Linked DNA regions of Arabidopsis thaliana. The protein of the gene in region 1 interacts with the protein of each later gene in a pairwise test. Each region holds a gene or a part of one and is shown on either strand. Other genes may lie near its edges.

Region 1 (13,351 bases):
ATTGGTAAGTACCTGACGAAGATTGACGAAGTTGAGGAACATTTGAGTGAGGAGTTCTCGAATCTCAGATTTGTGGTTTCCTTGTTTTTTCATGGAGAGCATCTTCGCGACGATTTCTTCTACGGAGGTTTTGCTCTCTCGAAGTAGCTCGAGTGGAGATTTTCCTGGCTCTCGGGGAGGTTGTATAGTCTCTATGGTAGTTACTTCCGGCGTCGGGAATTCGTCGGCAGTTACCATTCCTTCCTCTATTTCGCCGTCCTCCATTCTCGATTTCTCCAGTCAGGCTCGCTCCGGTACTTCTGACAGGATTTATGATTTTTCTCTTCTTCTTTTTTTTTGTTCTTTGTTTTTTTGTCAAACTATTTATGATTTTTATGTAAACTATATTTTGTTACAAATATTATATCTACTCCATGATGGGATGATAATTGCGTAAAAGAGATTATGTAACATTTTTTTTCAGAAAATTCTGTATAAAGACAAGAAAAAATTTGGTTTGATATCAAAAATATTATGTAAAAAACACCAAAAAGGAAACTACTTGATAATTTTGGTGAAGGAAGAGAGAGACATATCAGATATGTCGTGGTAGAACAGAGGTTTGATCAATCAAATAGCCTTCTATGGTACGGAAATTTTATTGAGTTGTAGCTAAGCCTTATAACTAGATTTACCACTTTGCGGATTTGGATTTGAGTTAATATTCTAAAAGTTATCTGTGTTTTCGTAAAGTCCTCTGTTTCAGACGTGATTTAGACCAGAGTGTATTAAACAAATTATCTCGAGTGCACCTGCGGTCAGATCATCACTAAACTTTGAGGTTAGCTTCAGGACATCTTGAGGGTTGAGTTTCAACGGTGGAGATTTGAATTGGACGGTTAGATTGCGATTCGTGACTCAATATTTGAGACCAATTGTTTGGGTTATTTTCAGATTTTTTCCAATTTAGGTTAAAGGTTGGTTTGCTGTTGTAGTTGGATGTATGGTGAGTTGAGATATTGTTGGTGAGTAGGAAGTTACTGCTCGTTGTGGGATTGTTGTTTTTGGTTTCAAAATCATTCTTGTTTCGAGGTGGGTATGTGACCATGAGATTATCTAAGCAATTGAGATTGTGTGATTTATTTGTTGTATGTATAGGCAGTATTTTTGGTACCATTATTCAATCCCCCGAGATGGTTGTGTCAATGGATGATTGTTCATTGGTTTGATTTATTTCATGATTTATTTGTTGATTGTTATATTGGTTTGCTTGTGTGTATAACTCGCAGGTAAGAGAATCGTTTCACTAAGTATTTATTGAAATATTTATGCATTTCTTTTCTTGATGCAGATAAAGATAAAGTGAGACGTAGAATCATTGCGAGAAAGAAAGGATGATCTAAGGCCAAAATAAGAAAATAACACCTACATCACCGAAACGAGACCCTAGAAAAGCTAAACACATCAACTTTTCAAAAGAATTTATGACTTCGTCAAAATTTAATCAAGATGCGAGTCAGGTAAGTCACCTAAAAGAGTAACATTGATGTACTCATTAGGGAAGTGAGCAGGTAATCCAGGAATCAACAATGCAACAACCCTAAAACACCTTAAGAACCATCCTTCTCTGAACTCTCCACCTTTCCAATAAGGCATGACGAAACTACGTATCAACTCCCACAGTGCATTCATTATCTTTGGTAAAACCCATACGAGATTAAAGTAGTTTTTGTTTGGTTCCTCTTCCTCTACCTGAACATAATACAAATTAAACAACAACAATGTAGATAGATATCATCAGTAGGGTAAGTGCGTAAGCGACATTAGACGGATGAGTGATTAAAGCAAAGAAACAAGATTGTCATATATATGCAACCAACCTTTCCTTTATAGAAACTGTCATAGTAAAGGCATGCCCCAAAGTGTTTAAACATGAGTGTTTTGTCGTCGAAAGGCAACCTAGGAACCATGTCGTTGCAATAAACATATCTTTCATACTTCACGTCAAACTTCTTTAGTGAATCTTTCATGAAATTTCCAAACTCCTCGTCGCCTACGCGTGGCTGTCCAAATGTGTAAACTCCTTCTAGTCTCTCTAGCATTTGCTCCTCATCATGCATCACCAAAACAGCCGTGAATAGGATCGCTAAAGCCCCACCTAGGCTATGTCCGGTCAATATAAATTTAGATGTCGGGTTTTGGTCGAGGATTTCTTTTAAGTGACGCCTAACAGTGTAGTATGCATATAGAGTTGTTGCGTTTTGGGTTTCGTCAAGGTTTACTTCTTTAGGCCATCCTTCTTTTTGAAGGCCCAAAGCTTTCATGAACCCGCCATGAATCTTTCCCACATTCTTAACCTCGTACCTATTTTGGAAATCAATACTAGTTTTATTAGGGGGGCTAAAGGATGAACTTAAAGAGTATAAAAACAAAAACCTAGACTGTTTGTGTGTGGAAATAAATTATAACAAAAGAAACTAAAATTACCAAGAGAGATCCAGGTCTGTACACCAATCATCGGCATCGAAAGGATCAGTGCCTCTGAAACTAACGATGATGAGGTTTGGATCTGTACTTGTGTCCTTTATAACAATCACCTCCGTTGATCTTTGTTTCTGGTAACCTAAAAACCAAGGAAGAAAAAATAAATTAATTTTTTTTGTTTATATAATATAAATAGAAAAATGAATTTGATCTTAAAACTGTATATGAAAAAAATGAAAAAAAAAACTGTATATGAAGTATTTTAGGAAAATTTAAATTCTAGAGAATTTGAGGTTATTGTCTCTAAAAATTTTAAATATTTTAGCACACATAGACAACTATTTAAAAGATACAAACATAAAATTTCTAGTCGTAATTTTATGTTTAATTTAGAGGCAAAAAGGTAAGAGAATTTAATCTTTTTATAAATTGATTTTTAGGAAAGACAATATATAAATTGAACTAAATATAAAGTTTTTTGGTCTATCATTGATTTGAGTATTATTATTGGAATCAAATTCTTTTTAGTTAAGAAAAATAATATATTGCACATTTCAGACAGTGTTTTCACGTGGTATTTGCCTTCTTCGGACCCATTAAGTTAATTATTCATCAATAATATAAAAAAAAAAGGGAATTAGTCTCACCATTCCAACAGCTGTAGAAACCTAATAAGTCCATCTGTGCCACATTTAATAAAAACATAGAGATTATAAGTCCAACACAATTATTTCATGATTTAATAATCAATGGAAATCATGCATGATCATGCTATTAGATAAGTTAAATAATTGGACGATGGCAGCTAAATGAGATTATATATGCATTAGTTGTCGTGTCTTTATATGTAACTAACTTTAAGCGAGGAAAATCTTCTCTTTTTTTACTTTACAAAGGAAAACAAAATAACAATAAAAAAAATGTTATTTAGAAAAGAAAAAGACTCTAGAATTATTATTTTTTAATCCCAAAATTGATTGTTATCATCTATAGACATTATATATAGAAGATGATATGTAAGTTTTGCTAGTACATATTATTAATTTCTTAAATTCCAAATTCAAATCCGTGTATTGTATATTATTGACAACAAAAAGTAAAATAATTTTTCAAACAAAAAAGAATCATTTTTCATTTACTAGGCAAACGAAATTATATTGACTGTGACTAGTGTGTATAGCATAGTAAAAGTATGGAGAAAAACTAGAAATTCAATTTAACAGAAGTTATTTTCTTCAATATGTTACGGGAAAGGAAAATTTCTCTTTTTTTTCTTCCAGCGGATATAGAGTACTGTGTTTTATATATATGATTGGTGAAGTTATAATAAAATGTCGAAGAAATTCAGTTTCTTAATCTATTTTTATTACCAGTCATATTCAACAAATTTGATCCAAAAATGCATTTTAATGATAGAACGTGAATTTAAATGAGCAAAACAAAACTACTATCGTTTTCTAGCAACATGTAAAAGTTGTAAACAACAAGGAAAAGATTAAAGAATAAAACCTTCCAATGGTTGTGAAGAACGGAGCTGACAAAGTTTATATTCTCGTAAGACAGCTTAGAAGCCATAATTGACAACATTGCTTTGTATCTTTTACTTCCTCTCTCTACTTTCGGGTTTAACTCTACCCGCCGGTCTAGGTTTCCGTTTAGTGATGCAAACGTCGCTGATGCTTTTTCCGGCCAAATAATGTTTCCTAAAATAGTTACAAAATAATATATTTGTTAAAAGTTAGGGTCTACCTCACGATATTCATACAGCGGATTTCGCACAAAAAAGGTTATAAAATTAAGGTAATCGCATTGGTGTCACCAATTGAGTTTTATTGTAGGTCATCTCTCAAATTTGGTTTCAAAATTCAATTAATTAAAAGATTATGATAAAGCAGAGAACCCCATTTGGAGTAACTTACAACCTTAATGTTTTGTCTAGTATAATTCATAGTAACCATCAATTATTTGTATATTATCTTCGTTGTTCCCATTTGGGATTTCAAAATTAATGAAGAAATTCTAATGTTTCGACGTTGAATTTTACCTTTAGTGTAATTAACCGAACGTATACCCATTAGCTCGAACTTGTATACAAAAGAAAAAAAATATCTTAAAAGACAATCTTACCTTTGAAAAGATTTGGGAGTATCATCAAGAAACCACCATTGGAAGAAAGAAGGTTGAGCCAACAAGCAAGAGAAAATCCAACAAAATAGAGAGGTTTCTTAAAGAGAATTATGAGTTTTTGAATAACGATGGATACAAAGATAATCCACCGTCGCCGGAATCTGGAAAGATCATCCTCAATCCTCTCTTCCGAAGAATGGATGAACTTTCTATCTCCGAGATCCGATGAGAAGAGAAGATGTATAAGATCCGAGACGGTGGCTTCTCTCGGATCCAACACAAAGTAGTTTTTGGTTCTAGACATTTTTGTTTTTTGGGTTGTGGTTTAATCGTCAACGTTAATTAAGCTTCAAAACGTGGAAGAGTTGTTTTGCAAGGTAAGTCACGTTAGCTTTGTGTACTTATAATGTTAAGAGTAATATAATTAATTTCATATTAAGCCACGAGTCTATGCTTTTGATTTGTTTATTGTATAAATAAATTATGATTACGATGGTCGTATCAAGAAGGTTGGTGTATATCCACAAGTCAATATTATTCACACATGCGTTGTATGGTAGGCTTGAGAGTTGAGACGAATATGGTTTGACAAATCTTCAAGGTATTAAGAACCCATATTGTCTTAATTTTAATTAAAAATTTAAAACTCGATAGAGTCGAGACATTTCACTCTATATACTTTCTTTTTTGGTTTGGAATATATATCACGTAAAATCCATCAATTTAAAGCAGGTTTTCAAAATTTTATTATTACTACAGTAAAACACATAAAACTTCAACCTAAATAATTAGAAGACACTTTTATAAAAAAAAAAAAAAAGTAGAACACTTGCACTTTAGTAAGCTATATTTAATTGTGCGGCATAACTTTGGCACCAAATTTTGTAAACTCCGTTTATGACCATTATAGAAGTTTGACCACGTGCTAAAACGCAAACTGATTTACTAAACTCCATTTTAATTAGTTTATGAACTTTGTCTTAATTCTCCACCTGTTTAATATATACAACAAATGAAATCAAAAGAGGAAATTTGGGTTTGCGAGTAGGATTATAGTGTTCCGAGAAAGAGTGAAATCGAATTCAACTTGAAGAATTATAGTATGTGTTTATGATTTTGGATGAGGTAAAACAAAAAAGAAAAACAAAATCAATACAAATTCTGAAATTTTAGCCATTGATAAAGGTTGATCTATATTCACAAGCCAAACTTATTCTCATCACGAGGGTTATATGATTCGAAGGATCTGGTACTAAAAACATATATTGCCTCGATGACTAGTAGTAGTACTTGGGTCGAAATATTTCAATACACCTTATTTCTTGAAAAATGTTGAAAATACCATACTTTCACCAGATATTCACGGTAAAAGGCATTCGGAATCTACTACAAACTTTATTCATCTTTAGTTTCAGACGTGCGTACAACCGCGAAGAGTCATGAACATGATACTTTTTCTTGTGTAACACTCAACAAACATTAGTATATAAAATCTAAACGATAAGTAACTTAGCATAATGGAATCATCAATAAATACATGCATCCACATGCAATTTCGTTTCAAATTTGGTAACACCGCATAATCGCCTAATGACATAAGTCGCAGAATGAAAACTCGCAAATGAAATAAGCAACTGTCACAGCTCTAGAGAAGATTGAGATTCGTATATCCTCCAGGACCGTTTACTTAAGTCAACATGTGCCGTCGATAAGAATGGGACGTCATCAACATTTCTCTTAATGATTTGAAGACTAGCCTCAGTTTCTTTAGTTTTCTGCATTTGACTTTGGACATGATTGAGATCCGTAAATCCTCTAGGATTTGTTGGTTGTTGCATTGGCAAATTCCAATATGTTGGTCATTGCTTTGGTAATTTCGGCTCTTCTTAGCCTTGTTGTATATTGGAGGGCTACTATTTCTAGGAAGACTTTCAAATAGAGTTTGATTTTTGATTTGTTCTCCTTAGTATATATGCAAAACATTTCTAATTTAGAGTAACAAAATTGAGAAAAATATTGTAGTCCGGAATGGTTGTGATGGTTAGGACAGACAAATCCATTTGTTTGAAGAGATTTTCGTTTACCATTCATAAACTATAATCCGTTACTGTTTTAGTCCGCTTTGCCCATATCTACCATTCAAAGCGTACGTGTAATCCTTTGCATTCCTCTACAGTTCTACTATTTACCATAAAATCTCTTTTCTTAAAGTCCCATCATACGAGCATAACAAGTTAAACAACACACAACTTATTTCTCTCAATCTATTCATTTTATTCTTCCAACTAAATTTTTACTCAACTTGTTCACCTTATTACTCTGCCTCTTAAGGGACAACCATTTGCACATATCCAACTTGATTTTGTTTCTCCAAAATTGCAACATTTTTGCATCCTAAAACTTTTGTAACCAATTAGAGCAAACTAGGTAACTCAAAACAACATATGGGCTTTCAAAGTAAGTATTCTCTCAAAATCGGCTGATTCAACTTCCTGCTTCTTTCAAAGGATTCATAAACTTAATTGACAATGGGTAAAATTAAATTATCCAAACAAATCCATAAAAGAAAAAAACAACATTTCCCTACCACCCTTTATCTTTTCCCTTCAATCCAAATCTTTCCATCTTTCATACTCAGATTATAAATACGAACAAATTCTATCTTTTTTTTAAAAAAAATTGGGGACAAACTTGCCTGGCTCTGCAATGGTGTGGGGGCTTGAGGGTACCTTCTGTTTCTTTCATTTTTGATTATAAAATTGAATAGTTAAGAAAAAAAAAAAGCTCTTTCGAGAAATCATCATGCTATCCTCCGCTTCTTCGCGGTGTTCAAGCCTGTAGTCTTGCAGATTGGGCAAAGATTCTTCTGTTTCAGCCATTCTTTAATGCATTGGCTATGGAATTCATGCCCACATTCTAGTGTCCCCATGTCTTCTCCTTCGGTGTATTCCTCCTGCACCAAGTTTTCACCATTCATACTCGGACGAAAAACAATCTTATACCTTTTAAATGCTATTTCAGTAACTAGTATATTTTTACCTGACAAACACAGCATGGCTCTGCATCTTGTGGAGATTTTGTGTTGCTTTTGTATTTTCGTTGCTTTAACCGGTTTGATATGGTTTCCTCGTTTACACCGGTACAAACATCTCCAATCCGCTCTTCTAGTGCCAACAATTCCTACAGTTTATGAACCAAAAGGAGTTAGATTTAGTGATTTAACGTGACTCAGACAAAGATTTATGGTTCACTATGGTTTTTAATTTACCTCATATGACATGTTGTCCACATCAAGTCGCATGTCTCTATACCGGTCATGACCAGTAGCCCCATCAAATAGTACTGAGTGATTTAGAAGCATAACGTCCTGGAAAACAAGCATCCAGATTATTTATGTTCCAGTTATTAGGCTAGTTCATCTAGAAATCAACAGAGACAGACACAAGACAAGTTCGAATTTAGATAACTTCGCTACAATCAGGAAAAACTAACCTCAAGCCGCAAGTTGTTATTATTAGCATCCCTACGCATGACATCCAAGACATTCTGCATCTGTCGGAAAGAGAAACGTATTGTTAGTTCTATTTGAGTGACTGCTGAAGAACAAACAAATGGTATTTATGCGCAACTGAATGAGCCAAAGTTAACAAATTCCATCCACGTTAAAGGCTACATGCCAATAGAATTTGTATCGACTGACCTGGGACACCATAAGTCTGCTTCTTCCTCTGCTTGCAGCTGCCAAGGCCCGCAAAGGATGAGGAATACCAACCACACTATCCCCTTGCCTATCAAACAACGGACCTGCTCTCGAGTAAGCCCGATTATGCATCTGACTATTATCACCACCAGGCTGAAGCACAAGCCCATCCGAAGAGGCAGGAGGGGCCAACGAACGAAGTGTTGGATGATCACCAGATCTCTGGTTTGTAGCATCTGCTGCAAGGGAAGAAAGCAAGGACCTACGTGCAAGTTCAGACCTTTCAGTCCTTCTTCTTTGATAATGTGGTGAATTCTGGTAAGAAGTCCACGCTAGATTAGAAGATGGTGGTGGTGGTGGTGGAACACTTGTTGTTGAGCCTGTCCTGGACACTGATGATGCACTATTCAGGTTTCCATTTGTTACATTTCTGCTACTCTGACTACGGGCAAAATTTCCTACCTCAGGAGCTGCAAACATGGGAATCTCAAGAGTATTCCCGGGTATGCTTCTTGACCTGGTTTCATCTAGATGAAGATTTCTCTCAACGGGCGCAGTAGAGTTCGATGTTCCACCCACTAGTGAGCTCCCAGTCCACCGAAATGGTGGTAGCATAGTCCTTGAACCAGGTGGTATGCTCACAGGAGTAGAATTTGGGTTACGAGAAACGACAAAAGACTGTCCAGGTCTCAAGTCCAATGAATGCTGATCTGCTGGTAAGTGTCTTGACAAGTTCAACTGGGATGGAGGGACAGGCCGCCTGACAACAGTTCCCGCAGCAAAGGTAGATGGGTTTACAGTTTCTTGATGATCTGAGGGATTACTCCTGACGCATATATTTCTACTGGAGCTCTCTGCAATGGCAGAAACAGGAAAATTTGGTGCAGAAACAGGAAAATTTGGTACAGTACCGGAGACCATTCCTCTTGGTCCATTGTCAAGGGAGCCAGATATGTTTAAACCATTTCCTGGCCTAAAAACCGTAGAACCTGGGGTCCACGAACTGCTTTCTCCACGCTGGAAATCATGATAACCTCCTGAAGAAGATTGACTAATACTGCCTTCAAGAGCTTTTCTTTTGCAGGATGCACGACGTCCCTCTACAGAAGAACCTGTTCCAACACCGTTCTCTTCAAAAGATCTGCCAGGTTGTGAGACCCTGGTCCCTGGTCCATTAGCTTCTATGAAGCCAGACCGACCTCTATATGGATTAATATCCTCGTGAATTTCTATATACTCTGCATTCAGATTGACATTCTGAACAGGTTGATTTGTGCCTGATGGCTGCGCAAACACTGGGTCTAAATCAATTATTTCATTTCCTCGTCCGTCAAAGCATCTTGTTTCCATTCGTTGCTCATTGTGACTGGAAGCTTCATCCTTCGTGCCACTAGAGCTAGCCTCACCAAGGCTAAATCTGCGTAAACCCTGTTGCTCGTGATAAACTGAGTTTGCAAGCGAAGTATTTGATTCAGAATTTGCAATCATGTAATCCTGCAAGTCATTATCACCAAGACTGTGAATATTCTCCCAATGATCTATCACACCATTACTTGAAGAAGAACCATGCTCAAAGTTCAAGGCCTCTGATAAATAGCCAAGACTGGCCCTCTCCCCCTGCATCTTGGCTAAGCTTTTAACCACAGTTACACTCAGGAGAAGAGAACTCACGAGACTACCCTGCCCTCAACAATGTGCCTAATGGGGAGACTGCAAAACAACAAAGACAGTAGATCTTTCAGTAACAAAGACAAGGAAAAGGCTTCTACACGATGTCAACTGTAATAAGAAACATATAAACACACTCAATCAAAACATAGCTCCTACAATTGTAATAATAAATGGCACCCTGAGATTGCATATACAGTCATATAATCTGCTTCACCTAGAAGAGCACAAGGTGCAAAAGTCACTCAAAGCAAGACCGCTGCAACTACTACTAAATGCAACTTACTTCTAGATGCGACGCCTAACTAAAACACAAATGATTCAGTAGGAAACTAATGACACATGAGTTATTAACAAGCTTAAAAAATAAGAGGACAGATGCGATAGAAAATTCATATGATCAACCATTCTAAACACAAAAGAACTTCAAGTCTAAATTATCAAATTGACACCTAACTGCCAACTTCGAAACAAAGCGTCAATGAAAATGAGGTACAAACAAAATCCAGGACCACGTAACAAGCATGCCAATTTTGAAACAAGGAAAAGAGTGAAAAACATTTTACTCAACTACCACCACAATGGCAATTCAGAAAAACAAGAGAAATATCAAAATAAGCACTGCCTCATCAATGACATATCAACTACCCATAGATGCAACAGCGTATGAAGTTTCACAAATCCTCAATACCAAGCAAAGATGTATTGAAACAGCAAGGTAAAAGCAAAGACAAAAGAAACCCACAGCTTGAAGATAAAGCATCATCACAATAAAAAACAATTCAAAAACCTCAAAGAATCAAACTTTCTCATAAAACAAGCTCATAGAAGTAAAGATCCGATTCAAACATCTAAAACCCAATAACAAAAAATAATTTTTTTACCTTCTGATGAATAATAAATTCACCACAACAACAATTCTACAGAATTTGACACAAAATTTCAAAAAAAAAACTATTTTTCAAAAAACCCACCAACCGATTCTTATCTATTTCGATCGAGCTTTGAAAACCCAATAGAACCCAGAAAAGACACAAAAATCAAAATCAAAACCAAAACCAAACAGATACAGAACATAAATCGATCTAAGAACAATAAAAATCAAAACTTTATGAAGATTCTTAATGAAAACGAAAGAGACTCACCGATTGTTGAAGAGAGAAACCTACCGCTTTGTGGTGGAGGAGAAGGAAGAAGGAGAAGAAGAGAGAATGAGGAAAAAGGAAGGAAGCAAAGCACAACAACACAAATGGGAACAGAAAAGAGGATTATTAGGACGAGACGGCAATGTGTAATTTACCATATAACCCAAAATAAAAACTAATATTTTAAGGAAATTGAATCAAAAAGTTAAAAAGGGTCAGTCATAAGAACAGTTTCCAAAGACTGAATTGAATTGCTAAATGCCTAAATCAACGAATAAACAAAAACTAATAATTCAATGTGTAAAGATTTTTAATTAATTACAGTTACACGTAATGTGTAATGTTGAAGAAGAAAGCAAGTTGGCTTAAGAAGAAAGAGTTAATAGGATTTTTCTTTTGGGTCATTCATTAGTCATTACTTAAGCAAATTGTCCCAACCAAAAGTTTCTCAGCCTTTGCCTCTTCCATACACACGTCCCTCGTTTGTTTTACTTTTATTTGTTCATACTGAACTAAACCGGAACTTAACCGAGCAGAACAAATCCGGTTTCTTTTCGAACTTTTTGTTTCCTAGTTGTCATGTAACTTTGGTCTACTTTCTCCTTCTGTTTATCTTTTTTATTTTTATTGTTTATTTTCTTCCATTAGCTTAGATTCCCCATTTAAATATATGTACAAAAAAAAAGAGTATACGTGTGGATCAGAATCACTAGTTACCTAAATTTGGTACTGGCAAGATTTATCAATTTATGAATGGTCTTTCTTTATCCTATATACAAAAGAAAGAAAAAATCTAAAAATATTTTTTATTTGAGTGCATCATGTTAAAAAATATTTTTATTAATAATATTTACTTCTAGTTAATTGGTCAATATTGGTTTTATTGTTTGCAATCAATGCGTGAACTGTAATAAAAAAGAGAGTATATGTGTGCAGATTTATTAACTTATGAATGGTTTTATCCTATCCTATATATATAAAAGAAAGGAAAAAAACGAAAAAGGTTTTTTTAGGGTTAACAAAAAGTCTATGTGTAATATTTACTTCTAAATTTTGGTCAATATTTTATTATTAGCAATCAATTTCTTTATTATTTTCTGAACTGTAAATAATAAGGTTCATCCCCTTAAATAAATTTTATCTTCTTGAAACGTTTTTTTAAGAAGAAATTTCATTCTATTCATACATAATATTTTTATATTTTAAGAAAAATCATTTTAAATTTAATGTTTTGTTTAAATTTTATAAAATCCAAATATGGTTGCACATTTTAACTTTGATATATGGAAATTAAAGTAATTTCATATACCCCTGAAAGCATAATTTAATTTTAATTTTTGAAAAGTATTTGAATATTAAAATTTGTTTTGGGATGTGAAATGTTTTTGAAGGCATATGTTGATTTCATTGTGAAAATCAAAGTGTCTTTGTTTAATTAGTGAAACCACACACATGATTATAACCATCTTACTTTGAGAGATTCGAAGAAGAGAGAATTTCTATATAATGTTGTAATTGATCATGATTTAAATGAGTTTTTATATACATTTTAAAATGATTTGGTTTAGAGGGTTACTTCTCTAATTTTTAGAGAGAGAATTGAATTACTCAATATGGTAGAGAAAATTTTGGTCAAGAGTGAAATTTTTATATCTAAGTTCGACCATCTTTGGAAAAAAAACACATTTGTCTGAAAAGTGTGTTAGTTGGGTTTTGGCTAAATTCTAACTGGTTTACATGGTAGTTAGAAATGCAGGCGGTCTGATTATCCATGAAATTCGGAAAACACTCCAAACTTGGGACAAACTTTATGGTGGTCTTTCGGAGAGAAGTCTACTATAAAACAGGTGCAATTCTACCGACCAGATCAGCTGATAGGGTTTATCAAAAAAAAAATTAATTTTAAAACTTTATAAAAGCTACTTGTCTACAATTCTTGATAAAAGATGAAGCATTGGATAAGCTGCTAATCAAAGCTCACCAGTAAAAAATGATCATAGACAAAAAAAAGTGGATGGAACATCTGAAGCACATGCACTAGAAGTAGCAAATGAATCTTTCGGATTATGCGCATGAGCTTATTCTTTGGATCTAGCTATTATATAGCTCATTGGATATCAATGGCCATAACGAAATAGTAAATCACATTGGTGGTCCAATAGTAGCAAGTTAAAGTTCAAAAAGAAGGAGGACGGAAAAATTTTCACAAACCTGCATGGAAAATTTATTGATCTTCTCCTCTTTGTTA
Region 2 (11,083 bases), on another chromosome or scaffold:
TATCTTTTTAGAATCTGATCTATCTCTTCTACTTCATTTCCCTTGCATTTTTTTAATAAGTTGTAGAATCTGTCTTGTTCTGGAAAAATATGGAGTCTTGCTTTCCTGCCATGAAGCTGAATCAGTGTACCTTTGGTCTCAACAACGAAATTGTCTCTGAGAGAGTTAGTGCGTTCTGGGGAACCCAAGTTGTCAAGCCCAATCATTTGAGGACAACGAAACTTAGGAGTGCACCTCAGAAGAAGATTCAGACAAACCTCATTCGCTCCGTTCTTACTCCATTTGTTGATCAAGAGTCTCATGTAAGAATATTTTACACTTGCAATTCCCAAACCAAAAAAAAAAAGATTCTCTGTTTCCTTGGAAATGAATTGAAGTCCTTGGTTTATTAGTTCTACTTGTGCATTTGAGTCTGCCTAGCATCAATTCTGTGTGTCCATGTTTGGTGGGAATTTGATTTGGACTGTGTTGAAAATGACTTCTTATGGTGGTAAGATGTTGCAACTGCTCAAAGTTTAGCTTTAGGTCTACTATAACTAGCCTAGGACTTAATTTAGCAGATGGTAGCGATTGTGAGTTGGTTGAGCAGTTTAGTGAGGGCTGGCTAATAAGGCTTTTAAGGTTTGGTTGGGCAGGAGAGTCTGTCATCAATCAAAATTTTCTGGTTTAGTGAATTGAAGCTTCTTTTCTTAAATTAAGTCCCTTGGTAGCTTTATTTCTTCCAAGTCCTATTCTGATATAAAGAATCATTTTTCAGGAACCTCTGTTGAGAACTCAAAATGCAGACCCTAAGAATGTAGCGTCTATCATACTAGGTGGTGGTGCTGGGACTCGCTTGTTCCCTCTTACAAGCAAGAGAGCTAAACCTGCGGTGAGGATTGTTTTGTTTGTCCATTGTTTCTTATGATTCATTGTCAATGAGGTTTTAAACTTGTTAATAATCGTAGGTGCCAATTGGAGGGTGTTACAGGCTGATAGATATACCGATGAGCAATTGCATCAACAGTGGTATTAGAAAGATCTTCATCTTAACTCAGTTCAACTCATTTTCTCTCAATCGCCACTTGTCTCGTACTTACAACTTTGGCAATGGAGTCAATTTTGGTGATGGGTTTGTTGAGGTGATACCATTACCTGCCATAGATTAGATTTATCTTCCTGTGTTTTTATTTGCTACTAAAGTTTCTCCTCTGGAGATGATTAGGTCCTTGCTGCAACCCAAACTTCCGGAGATGCAGGAAAGAAATGGTTTCAGGGAACTGCTGATGCTGTTAGGCAGTTTATATGGGTCTTTGAGGTCTTCTTTTGTCTTTCATCTCTTAGTAAGTGTTCTTGTACATTGTTGGAAACATGATATGGCGGTGTTTCTGTAGGATGCCAAGACAAAGAATGTGGAACATGTCTTGATCTTGTCTGGGGATCATCTCTATCGGATGGATTACATGAACTTTGTGCAGGTTAGTTTTATTTTTCTTATTTGTCCACACTGAGCTTCATGTAAACTTTGTTTCATTTCTCGTCTTTGCAGAAGCACATTGAGTCCAATGCTGATATCACAGTTTCTTGTCTTCCCATGGATGAGAGGTGTGTCTGAGGATCATTAACATTGTTTCTTGCCTTGTTTATTCGATGAACTTATTTGAGTTTTTCCTTATTCACAGCCGTGCTTCGGACTTTGGGCTGCTTAAAATTGACCAGTCTGGTAAAATCATTCAATTCTCGGAAAAACCAAAGGGAGATGACTTAAAGGCAATGGTAATGATTTATTTTGTTTGTCAAAACGTTCAGTTTCTTGCTTGCAATATTACGAGAACTTAAATGTTTTTTGCGTTTTCAGCAAGTTGACACTTCCATTCTTGGTTTACCACCGAAAGAAGCTGCGGAGTCCCCATACATTGCATCGATGGGTGTTTACGTATTTAGAAAAGAGGTTTTGCTAAAGCTTCTAAGGTCAAGTTATCCTACATCCAATGACTTTGGTTCTGAAATTATCCCGTTGGCCGTAGGGGAGCATAATGTTCAGGTCTGGTTTTTCTTCATTTTTTGTTTAGCATATCACATCATCAATCAATATTTGTGTTTCCTCTGACCTTTATTTATTAACTTGCTGCTACATAGGCATTTTTGTTCAATGACTATTGGGAGGATATTGGAACCATAGGATCATTCTTTGATGCCAATTTAGCCCTCACGGAACAGGTTTTCACCGACTCTTTATTGTTTCATCTCCAGTGCAGGGTGGTGACTCAGTGAAACCTAATCATGCTATTTGTTTCTGTTTTGGCAGCCTCCTAAATTCCAATTCTACGATCAAAAAACACCCTTCTTCACTTCTCCAAGATTCTTGCCACCTACCAAAGTTGATAAATGCAGGGTACAATATCTTGAATTCGATTATCCCGTTGTTTCAGCTAATGATTCATCGATCCTCATGTTGTAAAGTGTATTATGGAATTGCAGATACTTGATTCCATAGTTTCACATGGATGCTTCTTGAGAGAATGCAGTGTGCAGCACTCAATCGTTGGCATACGATCACGTCTCGAGTCTGGAGTAGAGCTTCAGGATACAATGATGATGGGAGCTGATTTCTACCAAACGGAAGCTGAGATCGCGTCTCTTTTGGCGGAAGGGAAAGTTCCGGTAGGGGTTGGCCAGAACACAAAAATCAAGAACTGTATCATTGACAAGAACGCCAAGATCGGGAAGAACGTGGTCATAGCGAATGCAGATGTATGTTTTCAAAGATCTTTTTGGTTATTTTGAAGAAATGGTTGTCTGATTTTTTGTTGTGTTGGGTTGTGGCAGGGCGTGGAAGAAGGCGATAGACCAGAGGAAGGGTTTCACATAAGATCAGGCATCACCGTTGTGCTGAAGAACGCCACCATTAGAGATGGTCTGCATATTTAAGCTTTTAAACCTCTCTTTAGGAGCAGTGTATGTGGCTTCTTGTGATTTTGTAACGAGACTAGTTACGTTCGATTAATAATTTAATAAAACAAGAGGCACAAACGAATGACAGTTTTAGCAACTTTAAACGTGATCGTTAATCTTGGTAAATCTTAATGATTACGTAAAACACAGAGAGAAACCAATCACAAACAGACGAGAAAAAAGCATGTGTAAAATTCTTCACTCTCACGATCACAAGTCACAACACAAGACTTGAGACTCCCATCCATATATACACTTTACAAATTATAGATATTTCATTCGAGTTTTATGGGACTATAAAAAGAGTCATAAAACTCTTGTCTCTTATTGCAGTGAGAATGAGAGAATAGGTTCTGAAGACTAAATGGTCTGATCTTTAGAGAAGGTAAGGACCACTAGAAGCTACCTCACCAACTCAATTAGTGTCAAATTAATCCAAGGCCAACAGTCCTGAAAAAGTCTCCTAACTTTTTATGTCTGCAACTGTATATGGGACATCCCTAGTTTTCTTAATTTTGAATCTTGATTCTTGAGTTAAAACAAAAACCCAAATATACAAGTATGCATGAAACGTAAACTTTCAGAGAAGGTTTCTCACATTAAGTATCCTTTGAGTTAAGTATATAGTCCATAAGACTGTTTTTGGTTTTAATTTTAGTATTTGTGTGTTTGGGCCTCCCAAAGATTGTTGGCAGAAAAGTTGTCATTATCACTGGACCAAACTCGCATGCTCAATATTTATCATCACCAGTTATAATTACATACACCGACTGCTTTTTTAATTTTATTCATTTTATATTCTCTCGGCCTCATGGCACCGTTACTTCCCGCCTCACGTTGACGATATATGAGAGAATATTTTATCATCATATCATAGTGAAGATAATAGCACAAAATCACAACACAAGTTTTTGGTAAGTAATGATCGTCCGCTGTAATGATCGTCCGCTCAATAGGGTTATTGGTAAGTAAGAATGAACCTGAGCTATAATAACTTGATATCAAAATCGTGTGTGATTGTAGAAAAAAAAAATCTTATAAATGATTATTTGTTTACTTTTTGTCAAACACTTATATATAAGGTATTTAAAACTAGATATAAGGTATTTTAGACTGGTAAAACAAAACTAAGAAAACAATTATATGAACTAAATATGGACGACAAAAAAAAAAAAAAAAACATAAGAAAAGTTATTTTTTTTTCTTTTGTCGTCCATAATTATTTTTCTGTTTGAACACACAAAGGCGCACTTGAGAGTTTAGAAGTACCATGGAAAATGGTTATTTGAGGTTAAAGATGAAAATGAGTAAGAAGCAACCATATAAATATATATCCATTCTAATTTGGTCCCATGAATCAAATTGAAAACTCCAGAAAAGGAAGACTATTTTTAATAATTTTGTGTTATGTTGACCTTTTGTGACTTATGCTCATGCTCATGCACACCCTACTCGTCTATATTGTATATTGCTTTTAGTAATATAACACCTTTTTTTTTTTGTTAAAATAGTAATATAACACTCAATTGCTTTGTTTTGACTTTAATTAATTTCCATCTCTAAGAGCATGCCTTTCGTGTTCCTTAAGGCTAATTGCTCACTAATTTATGCTGCTTTTGAAATAAAGTATTATATATATATATATATATAATGATTAACATATTATCAACTTTTATGAAAAAATCAAAACATATTAAGCAACTCCTTTTAACTCGTTGTTGTGGTCACAAACTGTAACAAGTTTTCTTCTTATCCAATGTGGAACGAGTTAGCCCAAAAAAAAGACTTGAGAGAAAGAAGACAAATATGAATGTTTTATGTCTTATAAATGGAATGTAAAACCATTTCAATAGAAAAAAATAACAAAAAAATTCTTATACCAATTTTCATAATTAAATCTTATCCCGAATCCCATTTGCCTGTAATAATGAGACTTTTAAAAGTTTTTATTCGAGAAGCAGTGATTCATAATTTCAACGATGTCGAGAAAAAAAATGTGTATAACCCTAAATAATAGCCAAAATAAGAAAAGAATAATTAAATTCCAAAAGAAATGGTTAAAAAAGCGAATTAACGAATTAAATTCGACATTTATATTTTGCAACCTTCCCTTCGACGCAAACATTTCTCTCTTTTTTCTCTAATCACCAAACCTGCGTCTTCTCTCTCACACTACTAACAACACTTCCTTCTTCTTCTTCCGACTATGGATAAGAAGCACGGCTTGTTCTCCAAGTCTAATTCCCGGCGACCACGATCCAAGAGTCCAGTCAGAAGCGTCTCTCCGATCATCATCCGTCGCCGGAAAGGCCGTTACGTCACACAACCGGACCGGCACATGTCTGAGATGCTTGCTCCGGTTATAGAAGGTCCTGATCCAGACGCTGAAGACTCCGGAAGCAGTGGTGATTACTCTAGGTTCGAGAGACGTTGGTACAATTGGATGAAATGTCAGCTTCCGGTGGCTCCGCCGTCAGTATCGTCCTCTTCGGATTTCAAACGAACGGATCTGAGGCTTCTCCTCGGTGTTCTTGGCGCACCTTTAGGTCCTGTGCACGTTAGCGCTCTGGATCTCCTTCCACACCTCAGTATCAAGAATACACCTATGGTGAGCTCTTAATTCACTGTTGTCTCCTCAAAATTAGGACAGTGTTGGGGATTTGGAGTTAATCATGTTGAATTAAGCTCTTCTGTGCCATAATCTAGCTTGAATTTAGCTGAATCTTCTTTTAGTTGCCTACTAATTACGGAGAAAGACTGCGCAATTAATTGAGATTTATCAAGTTTTATCTCTGCTTTAATGTGTTGAGGGTAAAGTCTAATGACTCTTACTAATACTTGAATTTTCAGGAGACTTCCTCTGCTCAGTACATACTTCAGCAGTATACGGCTGCATCAGGAGGTCAAAAGCTTCATAGTTCTGTGCAAAATGGATATGTTATGGGAAGAATCAGGACGATGGCTTCAGAGTTTGAGACAGGCTCAAAAGGTTCAAAGAGCAAGAATAATTCGTCAAAAGCTGTTGAGTCTGGAGGATTTGTGTTGTGGCATATGAATCCTGATATGTGGTACATGGAGCTTGTTCTTGGTGGGAGCAAGGTTCTTGCAGGTTGTGACGGGAAGCTTGTGTGGAGACACACACCATGGCTTGGACCTCATGCTGCAAAAGGACCGGTTAGACCATTACGACGTGCTCTGCAGGTTAGGCCTCTTGTCCCAAGGAAGCCTTCTCATACACTTTTCTTTGCTTGCATAACTGAATTGTTACTGTTGTCAACTTTCAGGGACTTGACCCGAGGACCACAGCGTATATGTTTGCAAATGCAAGGTGCATAGGAGAAAAAAAGATCGATGGAGAAGACTGTTTCATTCTCAAGCTATGTGCAGACCCGGCAACACTCAAAGCTAGAAGCGAAGGGGCATCAGAGACCATAAGACATACGTTGTTCGGTTACTTCAGCCAAAAAACCGGTCTGCTTGTTCACTTAGAAGACTCCCAGCTAACCCGAATCCAAAACAATGGAGGCGAAGCGGTTTACTGGGAGACGACCATCAACTCATACCTAGAAGACTACAAACCTGTCGAAGGTATCATGATAGCTCACTCTGGTAGATCCGTGGCTACGCTTTTAAGGTTTGGAGATATGTCATCAGGACATAACACTAAGACCACAATGCAAGAAGCATGGGTCATCGATGAAATCTCGTTCAATGTCCCTGGCTTGTCTATAGATTGCTTCATTCCACCTTCAGAACTCAGATTTGATTCCCACGTTGAAGACTTATCTCAAGGCCCCAAAATTAGGACATTGCACGGCCATAAAAATGGTTGATGTGAAGAAGCAGGAGATCAATGTGTATAACTCATTCAAAAACAAACCCTAGACCGGTTATTTTACTTTTGCTATTGTCGAAGCTAAAATTCTTGTAGGAAGTTTCGTTGAAGTTGTAAATAGACAGCAGGAGAAGTTCGTTCTTTTTGCCGCATAATGTTAGGAATGTGTAGTCTTAGTAAGGTCAGTCCAATTTTTAGTTTATAATATTGTTTCATATACTATGATAGAAGCTCCCATCTATTTCACCTAATAGCATATAGTATAAAGAAATATTACTTGGTCATCCATACCAATTGGAACTGATGAATACGATCTTCCTTGTATTGTATATCAATAAATTCATAGTGTGAGTGTAGTTTCTTTTGTAGCACAAACTAGTAAATGTTATTTCTCCTCCTACTGTCTATTTCAAACCGTTGCTCATTAGTTTACTCCAAAAAATGGCCATAAGTACTTATCTGTTTGTCTGTCTCAACCATCCAAATCCTATTTGTGAGTTGGATTTCAATGGGACATGAGCATTTTTGCATATGGATTGATCCATTTGCTCACTAGATCGTTTTATTTTACTGTTGACTGTTGTTGACCTTGAGAAAAAGAATTAGGCCGGTTCACTGTTGACCAAATTCTTTTACATAAAATCATTTTGAAAATAATCCCGGTTCATTAGTTAAACCGGTTCGATTAATTTGGTACGTCTCTAAAACAAATCGTCTTCACCTTTCTTCTCTTGCTTTCAGGGCTTGCGATTTTAAGTGGGGGAGGTAGAGAGAGCAATCTACCAGATTCACCGATTACCAACAACAAACAAGGTATCATCGGGTAATTCAGATTCGCAATTTCTGCTCATTTGAATTTATAGATTCCTAAATTGGTTTCTTTTTTTTTCTTGTGAAGATCACTATGGTGCTCTCTGACTTCACTGGAGTCGGTGTTGGATTTGGTAATGCCCCCATTCGCAATTGTTTTCTCCTTTTAATTTTGATTGGAATCGTAATTTAGTTATTGGAATTCATAGGGTTCGGTGTTGGTTGTGGATTTGGCGTTGGATGGGGTTTTGGAGGTTCGTTCTCAACTTCTCTCTTTTTCTGCTTTTACTTGAACAAAATCTGGACTGAATTACAAGATAATTCTATTGGAACAATTCTCTTGCTAGTTGCTATGGGATGTGCAATGCACTCTGCTGTGCTTGTTTAGTTTTGTGATCATATTGCTTAATGTCTCTTATAGAGATTATCAACTCCTACATATCATCTTTACTCAAATGCTTCTTCTTTCCTAGCTAATGGTTGCTTAAACGCATAGCTAGTATCAGTTGCGCTTACATTTTGATGGATTCATACTATTTTGCAAACCTACTGAATTGGAGATTTCCGTTGCTTTCATGCAGGAATGCCTATGAACATCTTAGGTGTTGGTGCTGGTAAGCATTTCAAACTTCTACTTCAAATATCCCACACTCGCATAGATACACACCGAGCAGGTTTTTCCTAAATTCTAATTACGTAACTTATGCGTCTGGTATTTGACAAAGGTGGCGGTTGCGGGGTGGGTTTGGGCCTCGGGTGGGGTTTCGGGACTGCGTTTGGGAGTCACTATCGTTCATCTAGACTTACATTTCAAGGCATCGAGTTAGAGACTGCCGATAAACGGGAGGAGGTGGTGGCTAACATGTCCAAAAACTCCACTTAAGCAGTCGTGTGCTTCAATACTCTGCTCGGATTGATTGTAAAAGAATTCTGACACCTTTTCTTATTTCTCAATGAAACGGTTACTTCAAATAATCCAATACGAAATGCATTTCTGTATTCTGAATTGTCATTTTTAGAAGGTTCCACTTCAATCTTGGGTTTAGTCCCAAATAATTCTACAATGGTTAATAGGATTGGTGCCTAAGAAAACAATGATTGCTCAATGAAACCCGTTTCAAATAATCGAACCAAAAAAATGCATTTCTATATTACAAACAACCAAAAACAGTTGGAATTTACTGTACAGTAAAAATGTGGATTGCCAAATTCGTCTCTTTCGCTGTTACACAGAAGATGAATGAACTCGAACCTTGCTATTCCAAACCTCTCTTCTACATTGAATGCACTGCAACTACCACTGCAATCAGAAAAAAAAACAATTTATCTCAAAACTCAAAAGTGATGCAGTAAGCTTTGCGTTCTAAACATAAATGATTCAGAGTTCAGTAAATCTTACCAATAAGAAAAACTAAAAGAATAATCCAAATTGCAGCGTGAACCGATTTACTATATCGCATTCGATACTGAGACCGTTGGAGTTGCCTCTGTAGAGCTCCATACCAACCATGAAGCTGCTTTTCATAACAGTCCTCCTCACACTCCATACAACTCTTGCCCCTCTCTGAACATCCATTCATATCTTGCTGAGAAACAAAAAAATAAAAAGCATTTCTTAGCAAAGATTTTCAAAGCAGGAGGCAAAAATCTTGCGGTTGGAGATCGATCGATCAAACTTACTTGGTTAGCTTGGATAGGTAATAAAGCAGCATCAGAGTCTCCTTGACGATCTAAACCCTTCCACTTTCTATTGCAATGCTTGGACACAGGATCCATATAATTCAAGAATCCAGAGAAGCTAGGTACTTTCCTCGGAGGTCGAACCACTGGCTCATCACAAGATTTCTTCACTAAACCATCATCAGAAACCGCAATGTTCCAAGCACTGAATTCAGCAGCACTTGCAGTCCTTCTATGTCCATTAGGATTTGCTTTAGCAGATTCAGATGGACCAGTCAAGAAGAGAGCAAGCTCATTACGATCATCTTCATCCAAACGAACCCATCTCGGTGTTCCTTTCCCATCGGATTGCGCAGCTTCCTTGAGAGATTTCTCGATTTTCGACACTTGAGCTTCCATTACGAAAGTAAACTCACGATGCCTATCTCTAGTTTCATCACTCAAACGATTGTCATAGCTAGATTTGACAGCTTTTTGGAATTCATCTAACTACACCAAAAATATTACAGGTTTCATAAATCAACATTACAGATTAAGAATCTGAGTTCTGAGGAAAGAAAGAAACCTGCCATTTGGTGGTTCCAAGAGCTGCGTGAAGATCTCTATGAAGCTGCTCAGAGTCCCATACTTTTGAAGAGTCTCGTTTCCCATTGAGCCATGTCCTGTACGCTGACTCCATCCTACACATGAATCGAAGATAACAACACACATTGTGAGATTTCAGATCTAAGACTTGATTTGATTAATCAGAAATCGTAATCCCAAATCCGAAGCAACACGAATCGAATCGTCGACATTGCATCACCAACAATGAGAGTTTATGGTATCACAGATTCAAAACGAAAATTGGGAGATGAGGATCCGAAAAACGCAAACCTGTCGGCAGATTCCTGAACTTCTTCAGCAGCGGGAAAGAAAGGATCTTTCTCCCACCGATCCAAACTCGTCGTCATCACTTGAGCAGATGAAAAAAAACAAACTAATTTCCTAATCCTTGGAAGATGAGAAGAAACCCAGAAATGGAGGAAAATGGAGAAGATGGATGGATCGAGAAAGATTTCAGAGAAGAGAGGGAACGTTCGTTCATCGATTAGCCAAATTACGGCCTTTCGTTACACACACGTGCGAAAATTAGTACTATTAATGTTTGGTTTATTCAATGTGGTTCTCAATAAACCGGTCCATAATCTCTAATTCTCTTCATTTTGGTTAACGCTTTATTTATGACAGCATAATTACCAAAAGAACTAGTAATCGAAAGTATGATTAAAGGAAAAAAATATGCCATGATCCTACTTTTGATTACTTATGACTTATCTATCAATTTTATTCATGTTATAATCATTTTATTACAGTTTCATAATTCATTGTTTCCTCTGGAACATATGTGTGATAACCAATATGTTCAAATCAGATCAATGGATTGGTACACGAGTCACTCCTTGTTTTCTTTTATTTAAGAAAAAACTTGAGACTGCAAAATGAATAATAATGAAAAAATGCAGCAAAAAGTGTGGGAAAAATCATGCGAATGAGAACCATCACCTGTTACACCTTTCTGGTGAGTCACCATATATGCACCTCTCTCTCTCTCTACTGGCACGCCCATGCCAACCATCACCGTTGTATTATGTCCCAAGATATATAAATAGTGGTGTGTGTTTGTGGCTGTGTATTATTCAAACACACAAGTCCTTTTACTTCCTTTTTCAGATTCTAAGCAAACAAATTGTGTCACTAAGCAGCCATCATGGCTAGAGTGATCTTGTGGTTTCTTGTTTCCTCGTATCTTTGTCTCATCGGTCATATGATTGCCGAGGCTGC

Evidence for each region.
Region 2: the proteins of AT5G42940 (region 1) and AT1G27690 interact in a two-hybrid assay, tested with the Arabidopsis thaliana proteins (one large-scale study listed by BioGRID).

Annotation. Positions count from the first base shown.
Region 1 is NC_003076.8:17,209,259-17,222,609, forward strand, and holds AT5G42940 (RING/U-box superfamily protein), read right to left. Parts: upstream 11,415-13,351; 5' UTR 11,104-11,414; intron 10,001-11,103; 5' UTR 9,914-10,000; coding exon 8,291-9,913; intron 8,143-8,290; coding exon 8,083-8,142; intron 7,958-8,082; coding exon 7,859-7,957; intron 7,771-7,858; coding exon 7,630-7,770; intron 7,544-7,629; coding exon 7,391-7,543; 3' UTR 7,071-7,390; downstream 1-7,070. Other genes in the region: THO5 (THO complex, subunit 5), read right to left, coding at 13-264; AT5G42930 (alpha/beta-Hydrolases superfamily protein), read right to left, coding at 1,480-1,731, 1,860-2,343, 2,467-2,602, 3,111-3,144, 3,973-4,166, 4,591-4,894. UniProt on the Arabidopsis thaliana protein: Probable E3 ubiquitin-protein ligase that may possess E3 ubiquitin ligase activity in vitro.
Region 2 is NC_003070.9:9,631,541-9,642,623, forward strand, and holds AT1G27690 (lipase, putative (DUF620)), read left to right. Parts: upstream 1-5,047; 5' UTR 5,048-5,140; coding exon 5,141-5,542; intron 5,543-5,784; coding exon 5,785-6,135; intron 6,136-6,218; coding exon 6,219-6,767; 3' UTR 6,768-7,361; downstream 7,362-11,083. Other genes in the region: APL2 (ADPGLC-PPase large subunit), read left to right, coding at 90-302, 758-871, 948-1,121, 1,205-1,297, 1,374-1,457, 1,529-1,584, 1,662-1,755, 1,838-2,023 and 4 more; AT1G27695 (glycine-rich protein), read left to right, coding at 7,674-7,713, 7,789-7,833, 8,161-8,193, 8,305-8,462; AT1G27700 (Syntaxin/t-SNARE family protein), read right to left, coding at 8,854-8,879, 8,979-9,165, 9,260-9,748, 9,825-9,939, 10,136-10,212; AT1G27710 (Glycine-rich protein family), read left to right, coding at 11,010-11,083.